3 linked regions of the Arabidopsis thaliana genome follow. The protein of the gene in region 1 interacts with the protein of each later gene in a pairwise test. Each region holds a gene or a part of one and is shown on either strand. Other genes may lie near its edges.

Region 1 (5,956 bases):
TCGATGAGAAAGACAAGCTTAGACCGATTAAAACCGGTGGAGGAGCACCAGGAGGAATAGAGAGGAGTCGATCTAACGGTGGAGGAGCTCAACGACATCATAGAACAACCGGAAGAGTTTCTCCGGCAGTGGACCCGCCGTCTCCGAGAATTTCGTCATGCGGTTGTTGCTCTGCGTTTGGAAAGAATCCGCCGGGGAAGAAAGTTAATCCGAGGAAAAGGCCGCCGAAACGTAGATCGAGGTAGGCGTCAGGATTAATAATATTCATGAGGAAAAAATAGTATACACTGTCTTTCATCTTTCTTCTTCTTCTTTTTTGTATGTGTGTGTTCTTTGTTATAAAAAACTTTAAATTTGATTTTTCGATTTGATCAACAGACTCTGGTTATTTGTAAATTATCTGTCTTTCTTTGTTTTCGGACAATTTCCCATTTCTGTACAAAATCAAACTTTCCGATTTGGTGATTCTTCTTCCTTCTTGGCGAATTATCTGATTAAGTGATTTCAGTATAAAACATTTTGAGAAAAATCAAACAACGTTCAAGTCCCTTCCGATGGCTCACTGACTAATCCTCTAGGGTTTCGAATCTGGCAGAGAAGGCGGCGGATCGTGACCAAGAAAAGATAAATCAATCTGCTTTGATTGGAATTAGACGGCTCTGATGTGATGTTTTGATTTAATATTAATATTCGTATCTCAAATTATATACTTACTGGACCCGCCGAGGGGGAGGGCCGTTTCACCGCCGCATTAAACGGCTACGACACCGTGTCTTGTCCGGAGTAAGCATAACATCACATTACCATTTGTAGAATAGCTGTCTTTAATTGTACTAATATCTTCTGTCTTCAAGTTATAATATTTTATTAAATGAAAATCTTTCAATCCATTACCAAACCCGAAAAAAGAACCCTCTTTCCGACAAAGTTTCATCTTTGAAATTATTTGAGTCAAGCTCAATCTAGAAGAGTTTTAGTAAAGAATCAAAACAGAAGATTACAACTTTTGTTGAAGAATCTGTCATTGAGGTCCGAGCTTAGGGCAGCCCTCAGCTAAAGGCAAGTCCAAGTTGTCGACTGTCCTAAAAGTGCGTGGTACCATCTTATCAACGTAAAGATTACCATCCAAATGATCACACTCATGTTGCAAAATCCTAGCTTGCCAACCTGAAGCATTCACTTCAATCCTCTTTCCTTGACGATCGTAGCCCGTCACTACCACCTCAAGGTATCTCTCCACCGCAGCTCTGAATCCATCAACACTCAAGCATCCTTCAAAGAAAAGAGCTTTCTTGTTGCTTCTCTCCTTGAGAACCGGATTCACCATCACCTAACCAAAACCCCCAAACTTCAACATTTTTGTTCTAATCGAAAATTGTAACAACTCTTAAGCACTCTGATTCTATTATTTACCATGAGATCAAAATGACGTCTTTCTTGAGCAAGAATCTCTTCCTTTGGTGCGTAACTTATATACTCTTTTGTATCTTCCAATACAATAATCTGCATCATTCACCATGAAACACTAATTCAATCATTTGCTTCGAAATGGGTGAAACTAGGAAAAGCATTTATAGACTTACCCTTAAGGGAACACCAATTTGAGGAGCAGCGAGGCCAACTCCAGGAGCCAATCTCATAACTTTAATCATATCATCAATTATCTTCTGAATACGCTCCGACCCGATTTCTCCCGGGTCAACTTCTCGGGCCTTCTCGTGCAGAACCGGGTCACCAGATGCCACTATCTCCGGTAAATCCACTTTCTTTTTCTTCTCACCAAGACCCAATAACCAACCGGCTTTTGTCGACAAAGAGGAGGAAGAAGAAGTAGGCAAATTATACAGCTTACGGTTCAGTAAGTGTGAGGAACCGGGTCTTGAAACGGGGAATCGGATCGAGCGACATGTCACGGCGGCGGAAACCGGAAGTAGACGAAGTGAGACTCTGAAAAGGGTTTCCATGGCCGTCGCTTCGTCTCGGTGGAGTCCCATCGGTCGTCATTTCTTGAAATACGACTCCTTGGGCCTAAAATCGCTCTTTCAGCCTATTATCTTAATAGCCCAATAGAAATGAGATAGTTCTGCTCTTCCTTGGGCCTAATACATAATTGTTTTTCTTTTTGACAACACAGGGATTCTCTATAGAGATAATGTTGTCATAAAACATAATAATTTTGAGTTTGATTAGTTTCCAATATCTGTCCAATACGATTGTGATATTCCTTAGGTAATCTATTACCGTTGCACAAAAAGAAAAGATAATCTATTACATGCATTAACTACCAAAACACTCTTTAATCGTGTGATTATAAATATGCGTTAGTGATGTTATCCGGAGCAATCCACCACCACAGGCCAACTACGTAATAACAAAAATAAATTTAAAAACTGTAATAGATAAATCAAATTTGAATTACCAAATAACATCCTAAACTAGTGGGTTCAAAATCATTAATTTTTATGTTTGGTTATGGCCAATAACGGTTCATAATTAATCAAATTGTAACTCTACCATGTACGTTTGCTTTGAAGCTTCTTATTTTATTTTATTTTGATAATCGCATTATTCTTCGATCACGGCAAATGAATTTTGAACCAATATTCTCTATACATTTTAATAAAAAAAGTATGTGTATCAATATATCATACATGATTCAACGAATCTGCCGAAAACTAATTAGTTCGGTTTAGAGTTAGGTACTTAGGTTATAAGCTAACTTAAGCCACATAATCTCTTTTATTTTATTGTTCTTCTTGGTAAAGAAGAAGCGGTACCGGTTACCGGAGCGGCGACAATGGGAATAGTGGGCGGTGAGTTAACGAGTTCAATCTCCAATGCTTAAGCCGTAATTCGTGTGGTATATAAAAACAACAAAGCCAATTGTTTTGGTTAGTGACGAATGGTCAAATTATATATAACTTTCTAGAATCTTGCATCCTTGTTTCTCCAAATTAACAAATTCAAATTTAATATGTAGTTAGGCAACCTCTTTTACATTTCTTTCAAGCAGAATCTTAGATTTGATGCTATGTTATTCCAATAGTTAATAGAGGATTAACGTATATTTTATTTTTTCTTAAAAAAGAAATATATAAATTATAAAGTAGAGAGTAGAGACGGTGCTTTGTAGATCATTCCTCTCTGACTATGGATGGGTCTCGTATATAACGTTTTTTGTTATTGTTAATAAGTCGCGTGTATAACTTGAGATTCAAGATTCCATTTCTTTTTATTCCTTCAACATTCAACTATGGTTTACGTAAAGAGAAATAAGTCTTCTCCTTTCCTATATGTCTAACTACAGTTTTTTATTAAAAAAAAATAAAAAAAAAAATGAAAATCCCCTATAAATACATAGGTCTCGAGCATCTCCAAAATATAACAATTCACCCTCTCTCCAAAATCAATTAAGGAAACACAAGCACTGTTACACACACATCTCTACCATGAACAACAACAAGAACATGAAGATGATGATGAGTTCCGCAAAAGAAAGTGGTAATGGTACCACTAATATTGTTATTAAAGAGACGATGAATAAGAAGGTGGAAAGGAAGGCATCGATGGACGTGGACAAGAGCGCAGAAGCTTTCATCACAAAGTTCAGAAATCAGCTTCTTCTCCAGCGTCTTGAATCCATTGAAAACATGCTCTCCAAAGGCCCTTAACACTACTTATCAATATACACATGTATTATTTCTTTCTTGTATATATAGTACTGTTATATCTCATGGGATTCCAACGTATGGAAGAATGATTTATGGCTTTCATATATTACTTTAGATCTTCTTTCTTTTAGATGTGGAACTCTATTTCTTGGTATTTATATTACAATATAAGAAATGTAAGGTGTGCCTTAGCAATACAATCTGTATCAACTTTTTCTATTTGGATCAAATTTTTGCAATAGACTTTCTCAATTGAAATTGTGACTTCTAAACAAAAGGGGAATGCGAGAGCCAAACATGTATTGGATGCCTCTACGAACTAGCTTGGAATCTCTTTACAAGCCTTTTTGTTGTTAGACCGTTCAATGTAGATATGAGATTCGTAACATATACGTTAACTTCGAGGGTCTAGAATGCATTTCTTGAGAGAGTGAATAGTCTAGTCTCTTTAGTTGCATTGCACAAAAGAGTTAAATCGAACCAAATACATTAACCAATATACATATATGTAAAACATGATTTCCCTTGATTATATTATATAAGCTTGTGGAGCAAAGAGAATGGTCATTTCCTCGAAGGGAATCACATTCGCTGATTCACATCGGTCTCTTATTGTATATTACACCCAAAACCAAGCACACCAATACACAAACACACACAATATAAAGAAGAAGTGAGCTGTTTATAATTAAGGGTAGACCACTTGGTGGATCTGAGTCTGCGGTTGTGGCTGCACCATCTGGTGGAGTTTGACTCTTGAGCAGGACCGAGCCATTTCTCCTACGAGGGGGACTACGGGGAGGCTATCGCAGTTGCAAATCTCGATCATGAAGCCATCAGGGTCATGGAAGAAGAGCTGGTCCACTTGGATCCCTCCTTCTTCTACTAATGCCCTTACATAATCTATCCCCATTTCCTCCAGCTTCTTCTCCACTACTCCCATACTCTCACACTGCATTTCCATAATTCACAACTCTTATTATTCAGACCAAAATTTCTACTATAATCTTATGTATGCTCAAAAAACAGAGTAACAACTATATACTTGGGATCTCCTCTTGTTAATTGTCTCACAAATTCTTCACACACATACCAAACACAAGATGTTTTGATGCTTAAAACCAAGTGGTTTGTTGTATAATCCTAACTAACATTTCTATTACACAACTATAAAAGTTGAGGATGTTTTGATTCATAAAACAAAATTGTTTGTTGTCAATAATGGAACAATGAATACTTCTGACTCACAAAACTTGACCTCTGAAAACCCCACCTTCTATTGTCCTTTTTTTCTCTCCCTTCTTAACTTATCTCTTGTCATTTTCTCTAGGATATTTTTGTTCTCTCATAAATTCAGTTTCTTTCATTCAATAGTTATCATAAGCCAATTCAAACTATACTAACAAATTCTATCCTAAGGGTCATTTACTTAGGAAACTAACAAATTTTGGATTTTCTTCCTTAATAATAAATAATTCTGAGATTGTGTTTTGCACAAAAGGTTCATAAATATAGAAAAATATCCTAAGACAACATCTAAATACAGAGCTTGTATGAACGTAGATTATGGTTTATGGCTTTAAAAAGCACAAAAGTTTTATTGAAAAAAACAAAAAACAGGGCAAAACTGAGAATTAACACACACGAAAAATTACCTGGAAAGAGATGTGATTATCCTTGGGATTAATCGCAGTTTTCTTGGGAAGTTTCTCTGGTTCTGGGGCACACAGGAGGTGTATTCCAATCCCGTGACCAAACAACCTAGACCCCCCCAAAAAAAAGAACATGTAAAAAAACTAAACTCATTGGTACTTTTTTTGTCCCTCAAAATTCAGATATATTTTAAATAAAATGATGATAAATTACCAAGCGCCTTCAAAATTTAAGGATTCAGGTCTTCGTATCGGGATGAACCCTAACACCTTTTGGTAAAAATTCATAGATTCGTCGACGGATCGGCACAAGACAGAGACATGGTTCAGTGACGTGAGATGCAAAGGGTTTCCTGCGTCTTCCTTCATTTTCCAGAGACAAAGATCCTAAAGAAACAATTATATTAAAAAAAAGTAACGCCGCCTTTGATTAACAATCCAAAAACAATGACGTCCACGTTAATTCAAGCGAGAATGATTGTAATAGTTGCAGGACGTTATTACATGTATGATCTTTATATATAGTTTTGTGTTGTGTAGAAAGAAGGTTAATGGGATAACCACGGAACTTATCTGATGATCAATTACACATGGCTATGCTGTATTTATAGAAAAGCTAGCGTCTTAAGCAAA
Region 2 (7,185 bases), on another chromosome or scaffold:
AATAGTTGCTGACCAATCAATTTTTCTCGTTTTTTGGATTGAGTTTGGAGCTTCTTTTTTTTTTCTTTTGAGTGGTCTACATTTGACATTCTCTTAGAATTTTAAAATGATAAAGAATAGAATAATATTAATTAACATTTGGTGGTCGTATGTTCTAGTCTACTTCAACAAGCGTTCGGGATTAACTCATGTGTCTCGCGCTGAGTCACTCATCATAATCTTAAAACCCTAAGGAAAAAGAAAATCCAATGGCACACGTAAATTACACTTTCTTTCTTTTTATAACAATTATACTGTTTTTAAGAGCATCGTTAATAAAACCCTTCGAGTGATCAAATCCCATTTGGTTTCCAGAAAACCATCATAAACTTATTCTTCTTTCAGGATCTCATTTGCGGATTTGCCTCTCAATTTGGTCAACACGTATACTATCCTAGCGAGACGCTACTCATACGCTCATTATTACAATTAAAGTACAATCATTTATATTATGAGTGAAGTTATTATCTACGTTATCTGAAATTATAACTTACGTACGCGAGTGAATACATATACTCCAACTTGTGAAGAAATTAACGTTTTTCCGATAAATCACTTTATTGATATATCAAATTACCGATGATATAGTTGATTAAGCCATGTCGCTGTTTCGCTGAAGTATGTTTAAAGTACGACGCCACGCGATCTGTATAACAAAGCGTGGGACAATCAATCTTTCAATCTAGCTAACGTTACGCTAATATCACGAATTTTTCTATTCTATATATGTATTCAATGGGTTTGACTTTTACTTTGTGACACATTTATTCTTCATTAAGCTGATTGGTTAAACAGATTTAAACCTTTCTCTTTACAATAACCATTATAACCTATATAACATAACTCATGTAATAAGCCGATAATCGAGCGCGAGACACATGAGTTTATCCATTAGTCACTGTCAGTCTGTCACCAACCATTCAGAACATTTGTTTTAAATTTTAATTACGTGAATGATCTAATTACGACATTGTAGTAATCAAGTGGCTAAGCACTTAAGCTTATCCAATTTTCAGAAATTATATATACCATTCGATTTCGGGTGTATACAAAATGTATACGGCATTAAATAAAATAAATATTTGATTTATAATGTAACGTAGAATATATTTTATTTTTGAACAATTACGTAGAAATATCAACTAGATTAACCAGAAAAACACGTGAATTAAGCAAAAGAAAAGTCATTAGGAGACTTTTGCTATTGATTTTAAAATATTTGTGGCGCTCTGAATGTCTTGGTTTTGAATATGATGTTATTCATTATATAATTTAATTAAACGGAGAAATATATAACCTTTTTTTTGTCAAAAGGAGAAATATATAACCTAAGTAATCAAATGTGTCTAGTTTTGTTATTTTTCTAAATAATTATGACCAGGCCTTGTCGAATTAAAAGTTAACAAGTTATGATGAATGTGTCCGAAAAAGTTTGAGATACATAAATCAATAAATCACATCACGTAGACATCAACAAATAATTTGTGTATTTCTAAACGTGCAAATATTTCCTCTGTCGCAATTTCCTTGAATCGTACAATAAAAAAAAAAAAACGCATGGGTTAAAAAATAAGTGTGGCTGAGAATTGATAGGTAGAAGTTGTTGTTAAATTATTGAACAAGCCAGCTCCATCGGTAGTGTGCCATATGCACCGCAAAAAAAGTGATTATCAACTACGATGGTTAAAAAAGAAAAATCTTCTCTTACATTAAAAATAATAAATTCTTTTTGTTTTACCGTTTCAAAATGGATTATATTTCCAAGCAGTATCTATACAAAATTAATTCCATACATACTCTAGTTATTAATATTTTCCATATTTAAAATAAAACTTTGATCTACTTTTCTATTCTTTTATCAAATAGATCCGTATTTTGAATATATGTTTTAAGGAATTAGATCTCTCTCTTTTTTCCTGTCATGCAATTCGTAGACAAAAATATAATTTGTAAACTAATTAAATATTCGAAAACATAAGTTCAAAGATAACTTAAATGTAAATATTTAGTGTCTTACAAACCATAGGAATAGAACAACTAGATAGAAGATAAAATTTAAAGGCTTAGTTTGTCGTTTTTGTTGTTATCGGTTTGGTTTGCTCTCATAGATGGAGGTACTTGGTCTGGAAACATGTTTTGCATCATGTTAGTCCAAAAGTCGACATCCTTGAGTTTCAGCTCCATCTCTTCAATCTTCTTCTCCAGCTTGTTCAACTTTTCTTGTGTCTCGAGATACTTATCTTCGTAAAACAAAGATGGAACCGCCTTCATTGATCCATATGCAAAACGTTTGTCTTTCTTTATTTGAACCTCCTAAAACCCCCAAAAAAATACTTTTAAAAGAAAGTTAGTTGATAACTTATAAAATTATTGTTAGAAAATAAATAATTTTTAAAAATTCAAAAGTGTCACCTCTTTGTATATGTCATCTTTTTCATCTTGGGTGAGATATTGGTGGTCTCCTTGAAACATTTGAGTTAGTCTCTCGTCCTCTAAGACTTTGCTCTTCTCAACTACCAACTCGGCTTTTTGGTCGACAAAGGTCTCGTCCGAATTTATCTTGTTGGTCTCCTCCATTGAGGTGTCCATATCAAGGAGCTCACCAATCTCCTCATCCCGGTTTAATTGTATACTTTCTGGGGTTGAGGCACGGCCCATACTTGATTCGATTTTCCTTAGAATTTCATATAAAACAGAAGCAATGCTGCGTGCATTTATCAACTTCTCTTGCTGACTATATTCAGATAAATTTCCATAGGTTAATGTTGGTTCGTTGAAATTGAACTAGAACTAGCAATAGTCAGTAGATTTTTTTAAAAATGGAGGATATATATATACCTATTATCCAAATTGAATGATGCACCATGTCTGATGATGTATTCATTGTAAGCATGATAAACACGTTTGAGTTCCTTATGATCATTTATTTCCTTTCTTCTTCTTATAGTAAACTCGTCATCCTACTACAAGTAAACAAATTAAAGATCAAGACAAACAACATAACAACTTAATATATAAGGTTAGAAATTTCATGAATTATCCGGAGACTGATCCACACCATTCATATGATCGGTCATATCTTAAAAAAAATCAAGAAACTAGCTAGAATCAGTGTCACGTTTTCTACTCTTAGGTGACTTGCCTTCTCTAGCCTTCGAAGAAGAGAATTTTTGAACTGTCGTACACCTCTTCCGTTAGATCTACTGTCAATGCGGTGAGCTTCTTCAAAAGTATAAAAACGGCCTACGACCAGAAAAAATAAAAAGATTAACATATAAATTATGATTCTTTAACAAGAAAGCGTGAATTTCGACTCAAAAACAGAGAAAATCCTAAAGTAGTACTCAAATTTAGGGAATTAGACGAGAGTAAAGTAAACTCACATAGATAAGCAACACGAGGATCATCAGACTCAACCAAGTTTGCTACACGAAGAAACCTTTGAATCCCTGAGGCTAATGTCTCCGGAAGCTTCTCGCTGTCATAGGGCTCCCACACATATTGTTCTTTCAAAGCGAGGGGTCTCGTGAACAAGCTGGTTGCCGGCGAATCTTCCGGGAGGATGGGATCCATATCAAGAAAAACATCGGTAGGATCCACAGGGGCGATTTCGTTAGACGACATTGGGAGATGAAAGCTGCTTCTTCTATTGTTTTAGTTGGCATGGAGATAACATTGGAGATGGAATTAATTATATAAAGCAGCACTTGCTTAGCGAGGTGGAATTCTATAAAATAAACAATGTAAAGACGGTGTTTGAAGTGTTAATTAAAAGTGATTTATTGGAGGAGAAAAATGCTTTCTACTAGTTTGGTACTAGAGAAAGTGGTTTCCTAGCAAAAGTTTACACTTTACACGATAATATCAACGTGCATGGGAAAAGAAAAACCATTAAAACAAGTTGAGATAGACTAAATCTTATGAATTGGAATATAATTAAAGCATATGTATATATTTCTTAGCCACCAAGAATATACCAAAATATAGACTACAAAAATAACTTGATGTCCAAATCAAACCAAATTGTAAAATGTATTAAAAAAAATTAGTCATCTTTTTTTTTTTTGTAAAACAAACTTTTTTAGTCATCTTTCGGTACAAATCATAGATGAGTAGTCGATGTGTTCAAAATTATCATTTTATTTATTACCATTTTATTAATGGTAATTTTTGTTCTAACTATTTGTTTAGTTTGAATGTGTGATGAAATTAATTTCTAAAGCGTAGTAGTAGTAGTAATGGGTAATTTGGTCATTGCGTAGTCTCCCACTGGTTCTCCGTAACTGTCTCAAAATTACTCATTTGAGACGCTCATTCGTTTTCCTTCGTTCCCTCTCTTTCTTCACACTCCTTTTTTTATTTATTTCCATTGATCTCTCTCCTCTCCTCGATTTTTCCCTCCTTTAATCCATCTCTGCATATTCTTCAAGCTTGGGTTCATCTTCATCTTGATCTGAATCGATCCGGTATGTGAACTCTTTCTCTTTCCCTCAATTCTCTATAAATCTCTAAGCTCAATTCGTTATTGTACGTCTTCGTTCTGCGTTTGATGCCGTATCCTGAAGTTTTTTTTTTTTTTTCGGTTCATGATGCTTTCTCATCGTTTTCCACTGGATCTGCTGCTAAATCTGGGAAATTTTAGCGTATTTGGATTTGCTACATTTGTCATACATACTTCTGGATCTAGATCTGCCTTATTTTTTCCTTGATCATTTCGAATTTTGGATTAATAGTTGTAGCTTGTCCTTTTATCAATTCGAATCTCATGACTTTGATTGTACTGAATCACACAGTGAAATTTTGTAAAAAAGGATAGATTTTTGAATGGTTCTGCTTAGTGTGTAGTCTAACTGTTTGATTAAATGTCGCAAGATGAAGTTTTTCTTGTGCTGTTTCGTCTGTCAATGAAGCTTTTCTGAATTGAATTTTCATGGGTTTTGATGTTGCAGATGGCTACATATAAGCCTAAGAACATCCTCATCACTGGGGCTGCTGGATTCATAGCCTCTCATGTTGCTAACAGACTAGTTCGCAGCTACCCTGACTACAAAATTGTTGTGCTTGACAAGCTTGATTACTGTTCTAATCTGAAGAACCTTAATCCTTCTAAATCCTCTCCCAACTTCAAGTTTGTGAAAGGAGATATCGCCAGTGCTGATCTCGTCAACTACCTTCTCATCACTGAAGAAATCGACACCATTATGCACTTTGCTGCTCAAACCCATGTTGACAATTCTTTCGGTAATAGCTTTGAGTTTACCAAGAACAATATTTATGGTACCCATGTCCTTTTGGAAGCTTGTAAAGTCACTGGCCAGATCAGGAGGTTCATCCATGTGAGTACTGATGAGGTCTATGGAGAGACTGATGAGGATGCTTCAGTGGGTAATCACGAGGCTTCTCAGTTGCTCCCAACTAATCCATACTCCGCCACTAAAGCTGGAGCTGAGATGCTTGTCATGGCATATGGTAGATCATATGGGTTGCCGGTTATAACAACTCGCGGGAACAATGTTTATGGTCCTAACCAGTTTCCTGAAAAGTTGATTCCTAAGTTCATCCTCTTGGCCATGAATGGGAAGCCTCTCCCAATCCACGGAGATGGATCTAATGTGAGAAGTTATCTCTACTGCGAAGATGTTGCTGAGGCATTTGAGGTTGTTCTTCACAAAGGGGAAGTTAACCATGTCTACAATATAGGGACAACGAGAGAAAGGAGAGTGATTGATGTGGCTAATGACATCAGTAAACTCTTTGGGATAGACCCTGACTCCACCATTCAGTATGTGGAAAACCGGCCATTCAATGACCAGAGGTACTTCCTCGATGACCAGAAGCTGAAGAAATTAGGATGGTGTGAGCGAACCAATTGGGAAGAAGGACTGAGGAAGACAATGGAATGGTATACTGAGAACCCTGAGTGGTGGGGCGATGTTTCTGGAGCTCTGCTTCCTCATCCACGGATGTTGATGATGCCCGGTGACCGACACTCTGATGGCTCTGACGAGCACAAGAATGCAGATGGTAATCAGACATTCACGGTGGTTACTCCCACCAAGGCTGGTTGTTCCGGAGACAAAAGATCCTTGAAGTTCCTCATCTATGGGAAGACTGGGTGGCTCGGTGGTCTTCTGGGAAAACTATGTGAGAAACAAGGGATTCCTTACGAGTATGGAAAAGGAAGACTAGAGGATAGAGCTTCTCTCATCGCAGATATTCGCAGCATCAAACCAAGTCATGTCTTCAACGCCGCTGGTTTAACTGGGAGACCCAATGTTGACTGGTGTGAATCTCACAAAACTGAAACCATCCGAGTCAACGTTGCTGGAACTTTGACTCTTGCAGATGTTTGCAGAGAGAATGATCTGTTGATGATGAACTTTGCCACTGGTTGTATATTCGAGTATGACGCTGCACATCCAGAAGGTTCAGGGATTGGTTTTAAGGAAGAAGATAAACCGAATTTCACTGGTTCTTTCTACTCAAAAACAAAGGCAATGGTAAGATAATATCACATAACCAAATCACATCTGATCCTCAGTCTCTTGAACTCTGTCCATAAAAAATCCTCTTGTTTCTATTTTTGCCAGGTGGAAGAGCTTCTAAGAGAATTTGACAACGTATGCACCTTGAGAGTGCGGATGCCAATCTCATCTGACTTAAATAACCCGCGAAACTTCATCACGAAGATCTCGCGTTACAACAAAGTGGTGAACATTCCAAACAGCATGACCATACTAGATGAACTCTTACCAATCTCGATCGAGATGGCGAAGAGGAACCTAAGGGGAATATGGAACTTCACCAATCCAGGAGTGGTGAGCCACAACGAGATATTAGAGATGTACAAGAGTTACATCGAGCCTGATTTCAAATGGTCCAACTTCAATTTGGAAGAACAGGCTAAGGTCATTGTTGCTCCACGGAGCAACAACGAGATGGATGGTGCCAAGCTCAGCAAGGAGTTTCCAGAGATGCTTTCCATCAAAGATTCGTTGATCAAATACGTCTTCGAACCTAACAAGAGAACGTAAAACACAGACACACACACGCACTTCCCCGCTCTGTGTTCACTATAATGTTTCTACTATAGTTTTATCTGATTCATTTACTCTCTTTTTTTGCATTCTACGACTTGCATGTAGC
Region 3 (8,102 bases), on another chromosome or scaffold:
TGGACACCGTTAGTGTCAAAATAACCAATAAGATTCATCATATCATACACCACTTGCCTGAACAATTATCTGCAGATTGCCTCTCAGGTTGACCAGCAACAGATCCTTCATGCACTCCATAGCCCACTCGCTAGAAAGAGTGCCAAAAAACTCAACAAGAGCCTGCATATGGAGCAGAGTGTTATGCAACAACTTGACCACTTAGTAGGTTTAACAACCAAAATATATTTCAGAGGCACTACCTGTGGCTCGATAGCATGTGTGTTTACAATTACACGTTTTATATCAGGTAACTCTGAGTAATGCTGCACAAATCAAAAGGAAAAGAAGTTGGAAGGTGAGAAGATGATAAATCTATTTGGCCGGTAAAAATGGTAAAAAACATGTACCAACCTTCAAGGATTGGATATAAAGTCCAGCCTTTTCACAAAGTTGAGCAATGCGAGGCCGGTCATAGTGGGTGAACATCCCATTTGCTAATACCGCATCAGCCACATTAGGAAAAGTTACCAAATTTATCTCCAGAACCTGTGTTGAAAAATGATTTAAACAGTCTGGGGAAAGAAGGTGAGTAGAGAAAAAAACGGAGAGATACAAGGTGGCAACTATTTTCAACCTTAGTTTGCAGAAAAGCATGCTCAGGTAAATTTGGCTTTAGCACATCCAGAAGGAAAGAAGTCGCTTCACGGATCAGATTTCTCTGAATATGCACAAATAGACAAATAAGCACATGATAATTTACATCTACTGTATACAATTCTGTATATAGGAGTAGAACAAGTAATGAGCTACAAATATTGGTGCATACAGAATATATTGACCTACCTGAAGAAAAAGATCAGTGATGGTGTTGTAGTCAACTGGAGAACCTCCTTCCATTTGAGACATCATTAATGCAAAATTTACTGCTCCCTGCAAATAAAAATTAAAAGACTATTGATATTAATACGGTGGGAAAAAGATTCTTCATTCTATATAACATCAGGTCAAATTATTCAACAAGTTAGTTGATTCATAACTCTTCCAGTGCTTACGCCACATATATTCAGTAAAGTCCTTTCATAGTTTAGTATGTTGCAAGTATCAAGAGTGCACCACACTAACCTGAGGATCTGTACGGAGTATGGTTTGCAGAAGAAACAGGTAATCAGGTGTGTACCCAACCTGAAGTCACAATATGAAACAATGGTAATTCATGAGACAACAGAACTTTAGGGTAAAAATAATAGAAGAGGTTATACTATAGATCTTATTGCTTACCTGCTTTGAGTAAATCAGTATTTTGTCAAACTCCCTTCTTTCTGCAAAAGCTGCTACAACTTTTGGAGTCGCCCGAGCTTTGATGTATATTTTCAGAGCGAGATCATTATCCACAGTCTGGAACAGAAAGGTTTATCGTCACAACACACCATAGGAGACATATCACACATTTTGAATAAAATCGTCCATTTCAAGATTACCTTCACAAGGTCTCCAAGTTCTTCACTGCATTCTAGTTTATCCTCTGCCAACCAGTTTTCCAGGAGGTTCTTCTTGTTTTGGTTCACAACCAGCCGAGATAGTTCCAGTGACTCATATGAATTGAGTTTCCCTCTAGTCAAAAGAGTCCCAAAATACTGTAACAATGGAGGAGTTTGTCCAGCTTGTACAGGAACACTCTGCAAAATTATAGAGTTGAAAAATTGGTGTTACCAACATTTCATCATAAATAAACATGTTTACACATAGTTGCTTGGATATGAAATAGACACCTGGAATTTGGCCACTGTATCAGGTGTCCTTAGAATTCCTTGAGGAGATTCAGCAGCAAGCTCAGCAGCCTCCTTGTACTTTGTTTGAGCGAACAACTCCTGGAACCGCTGGACAACCTACAACATCCGAGCAGAATATGAGAAACTTCACAATACCAAATGACATTTTTTTTCTTCAAGCTGCCATTTAACAACTATATAATTACTTCACCGAGACAACAGATCCATGATAAACATCGCATACCAGATTTTCTGCACCTGGGAGGTTTCCTCTTTTAGCAAGATTGACAGCAAGCTCCAAATTGTTCAACTGTGATACAAAAGCATAGATTTCTTAGCATGACATGATGAAAAGGGTAGGTTATAACGGGAAAATAGCATAAAAGATTAGCATACTTGGCCACTAATAAAAGGTATAATGGTAGCCTCGTTTACTGTAGCCAAAAGAACTTGTCCTCGCCTATTAATGGCATAGAAACCCCCAACTGAGGAAGCTTCAGAAGTCAAGAAAATTGGGTCTGGACTAATCCGATTTCTGTAGATAGCAGAAGCAGTCTCTAGATCGTACACAAACAACAGGCCAAGTTTGGTGATAACATATATCAAGTTAAATTTGTGAGAGACCTGTCAGGAAAATGAGAAATTAGTGCCAGAAATTGTCACTAACTACTTACACATATAACTGAAATTCTAATGCAATAGCAAACCTGCATGGCAACAGGAAAATCATCAGCAAAATCAGGGGGAAAAAAGAGATCTGCTTGTTTTTTTGTAAATGATGGTTTTCCTGCAAAAAAATCGCCAACCTTTAAAGATCAGATGAATACAACCTAGAAAACGTAACCAATTATATTAAATAACAGTGAAGATATAGTTTTGCGTCGGGGAGCTAACCAGGTTGGGCACCAAGCTCAATGACATGCAACTTTGATGTTATCTGCCCAGCATTAAAGCTCTTGCTTGCAAATGATATAAGAATAGAAGGATTCTCATTCCCAGGAACCTAATATTAATAGTGTTGCAAGTCAAACTACAGTTCAAGATTAGACCATAGATGAACTCACCAAAGAACAAAGACGTTACCTTAAACTGCGCAAACGATGCAGCATGTGCCTCAAGGGCCTGACTCCGCTGTTGATCCACAGAGAAAAGCTGCATATTTCCTTTTACCAATTGTTGTCTCTACAGAAAACAGATAATAATGACAAGATCAGTCAAGAATCTACAACATGAAAGCAGTTTTGATGTCTTTTTTTGACCTAATATGTGGCGCAGTAAACTTACCTCAGGAGAGCCAGGAGCAATTCCAATTAAAACCAACCACTTCTCATTAGGAGAGCACTTATAGTTTATAATTTGATTGTTGGCCAAATTGGCTGTTCTATCAAACATCTTAACTGGCTCAGAATCACCTATAAAACCCGAAGGAAAATTAGAAACGAAAACACAAGATATGAAGAAAATGACAGTAGGCTGAAATATACAACCTTCAATTGACCAATGATAGACGGAATTCTGTGTGACCAGCCCCAACATCTTTGGTGTAATCCACTTCCAAAAGACAACCTGTAAAAACATGAAACATTATTATCCAAAAAAAAACCCGACTGAAAAATTCAGAGTTATACGAAGTGTATAGCAGGAACGATAATGGAGTTCAAATATATTTGCATCAACACTCACCTGCTCAGGCATCTGATGTGATTTCAACTTTGCTTTGGCTTCAATGTTAAATATCTGTAGATGATCCTGAGTAGTTCCTGGAACTTGAGCTACATAAATATTGAAGTAAAAAGTGAACATCAAGATAAGTGGATTATGAACTACGAATTCGAGGAAACCGTTATGGGTTTTAGATCAAAGGAAAAAATCAAGTACCTTTCAAGGCAAGGATCTTCGAGTTTGGGTTCATAAGAGCAGAGTCTGCAGTAATAGGCCTCCTAAGAGGCTGCATCGGCATATTCATATCTATAATTACAACACTGTTTTGCGGTGACGTCTCTCGTACACAGATATACTTGTCAGACTCCATAGTAACATTTGTAAACGTGATGAATTGCTGATTGATCCCGATGCTCGGAAGCTGGAAAAATCAAGATGAAGCGTTACGTCAAATAGTTCATTTATTTAGTTATGAGATCCGAGTACATAAGCACATTGCTACAGACAACAACTTGAAATTCGGCATTGATATATTAACGAAACACAGATCTGAGCATAGTTAGAGAAATCTGATCAGAAACATGCATTCCCAAACAAGCGATCCGGAAAAACTAGAGAGTAACACAACGATCGAGCAGAATTCAGATCAGTAGGAAACTGGAATCAATCAATCAAGAGACTGAACAGAGCTTAATCGTAGAAAATCACGGTCGATTCCAGGAGATACACATCTAAATATTCAAAGATAAGAGTGAAGAGTAAGGAGAACTCACCGTCAGGACCTCCTTCATCGTGATGGGGGCGTTGGCAGCCGCCATGTTTGACCTCAGATCACAGCAAGAGTAAATCCGGGGACGGAATCAAATATACGGCTGAGAAGTCCTGACCGCCAATGGCCAGGAGATAGAACCGAGACGAGAGAAAGACTGGAGAAGAAATGAAATCGCTGCCAGATCTGAAGCAAGTGAACGAGAAAGGTGATGGAAAGAGAAAGAAAATTGAGAAAAGAAGAATAACAAATATATATGGGTAAGTAATGACGAACAGCGATCCAATTAGAGTCTTACATTTATAACCAGGTCCGGCCCATATCGGTCCTTACTGGGCTCTAAGCATCCGAATTTCTAATGAGACGACACGTGAAATATTTTAATTGGTGCTTTTAAATGAAGGTACCTTAGGTGAAACAACAATAAATGACTTAATAATTAAGATTTGATCCAAGAAAAAAACTTAATAATTAAGAATGGAAGAAGTGTCATGACTTTTAATAATTTTTTTTAAAAAACTTAATAATTAAAGATTTGATACAAGAAAAAAAAAACTTAATAATTAAGAATGGAAGAAGTGTCATGACTTAATAATTAGAAACAAAACTTAATTAATCTGATCCAAAAGAAGAAGGAATATTATGTCATAGAGTATCACTGATGATTGCAGGTTGCAATTGTATGTTGCATCAAGTCATCCGTCTTGGTTCCATTCAGTTTTCTGTGATGAAAGAGTCATTTCCCCTGGTTGAATTGGTTTTTTTTTTGTTATATGGCTCTGTTGTTTTGTATAGGTTATTGTTGTTATTAGCTTATAGTGGCTTAGTGTGTGGAGATTTGTTTCTCCCTGTGTAATTGCTTCTGTTCTTTGTGTTGGTACATGTTTCCAATCTATCAATTCAAATCCAGTTGAGAAAGATTAAGAAAAAAAATGGAAGAAAATCTCCCAATTTTTATACATAATAAAATGAGATGAATTGATAATCAATTAGATTTAGTTAGTAAAGTTTAATTTTACCGATGAGATCTCAGACGACCAAAACACGAAAATAAAATAAAAAGAAAGATCTCAGAATCGCGTCTTTCTTCTTCTTCTTCGTCTTCTTCCTCCGAAACTTTTTTTTGTTTTTCAAAGTGGTGGAGCTAACCATGAAATCGACTCACCATCACAGAGCTCCACTAATATCTGCTTCTTCCTCATCTTCATCTTCTTCCCAAAACCATTCATTCGTCTCTAGGCTCCTCCTTCTCCTTACTCTACTTCCAGTTTCCCTTGCTTGTCTCGCCTTTATCCTCCAATGGCGAGGCGGTGGTCTCGCCGATCCTGCCTCTGCTTCTGTTCGTTCCTCTACGTCGGTTCCTGGCGGCTCCGATCTCAATCACGAGGTCTTTCCCGGCATGGAGACTGTTTCATCTGTCTCCCCAAAGTCTCACCAATCCTCCTCCGACTGCTCAAATCTAGCTCGCAGCTCTTCTCCTTCTTTTCCTTACTATGCTGATTGGAAGTTTGGTGTTGATACTAGCTTAAAGCCTAAGGTTACTACTTTCAATTCCCCTGATTTCAAGTCTTTGGATCGATCTACACTTCCAAATTCCTTTTTTTTTTCTTAAATCTTACTACAATGTCTAATCTGAAATATCAAGTTGTTCTTTTTTTATTGGATTATAGAGATTTGAGAAATACCAAAGTTCATTTTTTGATCAGATCTGTCTTTGTAAAGTCACCTCACTTTTTGTGCTCCATGTTGTATATGATTCTTGACATTGTTACTGTTTACAGATATGTATCACGACTAGCACATCAGCTGGATTGGATCAGATTCTACCATGGATGTTCTACCATAAGGTTCTAGGCGTCTCAACATTCTTCCTTTTCGTTGAAGGGAAAGCTGCTACTCCGAGTATTTCTAAAGTGCTCGAGTCTATTCCTGTGAGTTGAACTACCTCTCTTCGCGTCCACTGTTTATTTTGTTTTGGCTGTATATCTCTAGCTCTTTAGTCCTGTAGGTATAAATTTGTATTTAAGGTATGCAGTTTTCGATAAATGTAGTCCCATGTCTCTTGCAGGGTGTTAAAGTAATATACAGGACGAAAGAGCTTGAGGAGAAGCAAGCGAAGAGGTTAGTTAGTTATCCCATTGCATATTTGCGACAAAGCTATAGCTCTTCAAGGCACTAAACACATGTTTTGTTGTATATTCTGAAATTGTAGCATTGTTTTGTTGTATTTTCTACTACTGATCATTTTACTGTCATTCTTTTTTGTTTTGTTTCATCAGCCGGATTTGGAATGAGACCTGGCTTTCGTCTTTCTTTTATAAGCCCTGCAATTATGAGTTATTTGTCAAACAATCTCTCAACATGGAAATGGCTATTGTCATGGCTAGGGTAAGTATTTCTTTTAGACCTTATTTGGTTCAGTTTTGACTCATGTCTCATGTTACATTCTCATTTTTCTTGTTCTTACTAAATATCAGGATGCGGGCATGGATTGGATACTTCATCTTGACACTGATGAGCTGATATACCCAGCAGGTGCTCGTGAGTACTCACTAAGACGGTTGCTGCTTGATGTTCCTCCAAATGTGGATATGGTTATATTTCCAAATTACGTGAGTGATATCTCATTCACACTTCTTGCATTGCTTATTTTCAGCTAGTTTTGTGAGTCTAAAGTTTCTTTTATGATCTGGCCTTTGCTATGAATAATGCTTTTGGATTTTGTTGTTTAGGAAAGCAGCGTAGAAAGAGATGATATCAAGGATCCTTTTACAGAGGTATAATTCAGTTTATTACTGTCTTTACGTAAGAGAGTAGGTTTATTAATATTTGTTTGTTATGTTAGTATTACTTCTGAGATATGTGTGGTGCAAGCAGGTGTCAATGTTCAAGAAGAATTATGATCATCTTCCAAAAGATACATATTTTGGAATGTACAAAGAAGCAACACGAAATAATCCAAATTACTTTTTGACTTATGGTAACGGCAAATCAGTTGCTCGGGTTCAAGATCACCTTCGTCCAAATGGAGCACACAGATGGCATAATTACATGAAAACTCCCAAGTATGTCTATCATATATTCAAACATAACTAAATTTTCTATTGGTTGAGGAACATGATAGGACTTTGTTGTTACTCTAATATAGAACCATGTAACTATCTTAAAGGAGTTAGCAGTGGAGTGGAGTTCCGGTTAACAGCGTAGTTAATTTTTTCTGTTTGTGAAGCCAATTTTTTTTTGGAAATACTAACCTGATGATTCTTGCTAGTGAGATCAAATTGGAGGAGGCTGCTGTCCTACACTACACATATTCAAAATTTTCTGACTTAACATCCAGGCGTGATCGATGTGGCTGTAAGCCTACAAAAGAAGACGTGAAAAGATGCTTTATGTTGGACTTTGACAGATCTGTGAGCATCTTTTCTTAAAATCTCTAAAAGTCCTTAGTCATTTCTTAAAATCTCTATATTTCACTTCCTCTTACCCTTTTATGATGCTGTATGGATCAACATTGTAGGCATTTATAATTGCGTCAACAGCAACTGACGAAGAAATGCTAAGCTGGTAAGAGCCTTAGCATCGTTCTTGGTTACTTGTGAAATAGATAACTTCTGACACTCTTTGAACAAGTTTGGTCCTATTGTGATTACAAAAATATCTGGTCTTGATCAAAAAGTAATCTACCCTGTGTAGGTACCGTGAACACGTTGTGTGGGGTGACAAAGACGTGAAGACGAAACTCCTTAGGAAGGGTATTCTGACTCGCATCTATTCACCAATGGTAAGAACATACTCTGCAATTCATTATACAAAATTCCAAACACAAGTCCTGGAATGTTGAGTTCTTGCAAGTCAATTGTAAAATATTATATACATTTGTGGTAAAATGCAGGTTGTTATACAAGCATTGAAAGAAT

Evidence for each region.
Region 2: the proteins of AT1G15385 (region 1) and AT3G14780 interact in a two-hybrid assay, tested with the Arabidopsis thaliana proteins (one large-scale study listed by BioGRID).
Region 3: the proteins of AT1G15385 (region 1) and AT3G08530 interact in a two-hybrid assay, tested with the Arabidopsis thaliana proteins (one large-scale study listed by BioGRID).

What each region holds. Positions count from the first base shown.
Region 1 is NC_003070.9:5,290,691-5,296,646, reverse strand, and holds AT1G15385 (cotton fiber protein), read left to right. Parts: upstream 1-3,308; 5' UTR 3,309-3,449; coding exon 3,450-3,671; 3' UTR 3,672-3,935; downstream 3,936-5,956. Other genes in the region: AT1G15400 (uncharacterized protein), read left to right, coding at 1-241, 601-628; PDF1A (peptide deformylase 1A), read right to left, coding at 1,022-1,330, 1,414-1,503, 1,584-1,994; GLYI4 (Lactoylglutathione lyase / glyoxalase I family protein), read right to left, coding at 4,360-4,623, 5,327-5,432, 5,538-5,692.
Region 2 is NC_003074.8:4,959,803-4,966,987, forward strand, and holds AT3G14780 (callose synthase), read right to left. Parts: upstream 3,768-7,185; 5' UTR 3,664-3,767; coding exon 3,423-3,663; intron 3,283-3,422; coding exon 3,182-3,282; intron 3,000-3,181; coding exon 2,878-2,999; intron 2,774-2,877; coding exon 2,452-2,773; intron 2,353-2,451; coding exon 2,095-2,352; 3' UTR 1,975-2,094; downstream 1-1,974. Other genes in the region: RHM3 (rhamnose biosynthesis 3), read left to right, coding at 4,980-6,539, 6,630-7,073.
Region 3 is NC_003074.8:2,591,181-2,599,282, forward strand, and holds the start of AT3G08530 (Clathrin, heavy chain), read right to left. Parts: upstream 4,475-8,102; 5' UTR 4,232-4,474; coding exon 4,187-4,231; intron 3,835-4,186; coding exon 3,630-3,834; intron 3,524-3,629; coding exon 3,435-3,523; intron 3,318-3,434; coding exon 3,239-3,317; intron 3,164-3,238; coding exon 3,036-3,163; intron 2,934-3,035; coding exon 2,835-2,933; intron 2,755-2,834; coding exon 2,646-2,754; intron 2,539-2,645; coding exon 2,459-2,538; intron 2,376-2,458; coding exon 2,148-2,375; intron 2,062-2,147; coding exon 1,996-2,061; intron 1,869-1,995; coding exon 1,752-1,868; intron 1,659-1,751; coding exon 1,461-1,658; intron 1,378-1,460; coding exon 1,261-1,377; intron 1,165-1,260; coding exon 1,105-1,164; intron 913-1,104; coding exon 826-912; intron 701-825; coding exon 617-700; intron 529-616; coding exon 394-528; intron 306-393; coding exon 243-305; intron 163-242; coding exon 58-162; intron 1-57. Other genes in the region: KOB1 (elongation defective 1 protein / ELD1 protein), read left to right, coding at 5,333-5,719, 5,964-6,113, 6,251-6,303, 6,462-6,570, 6,660-6,794, 6,915-6,959, 7,060-7,247, 7,454-7,595 and 3 more.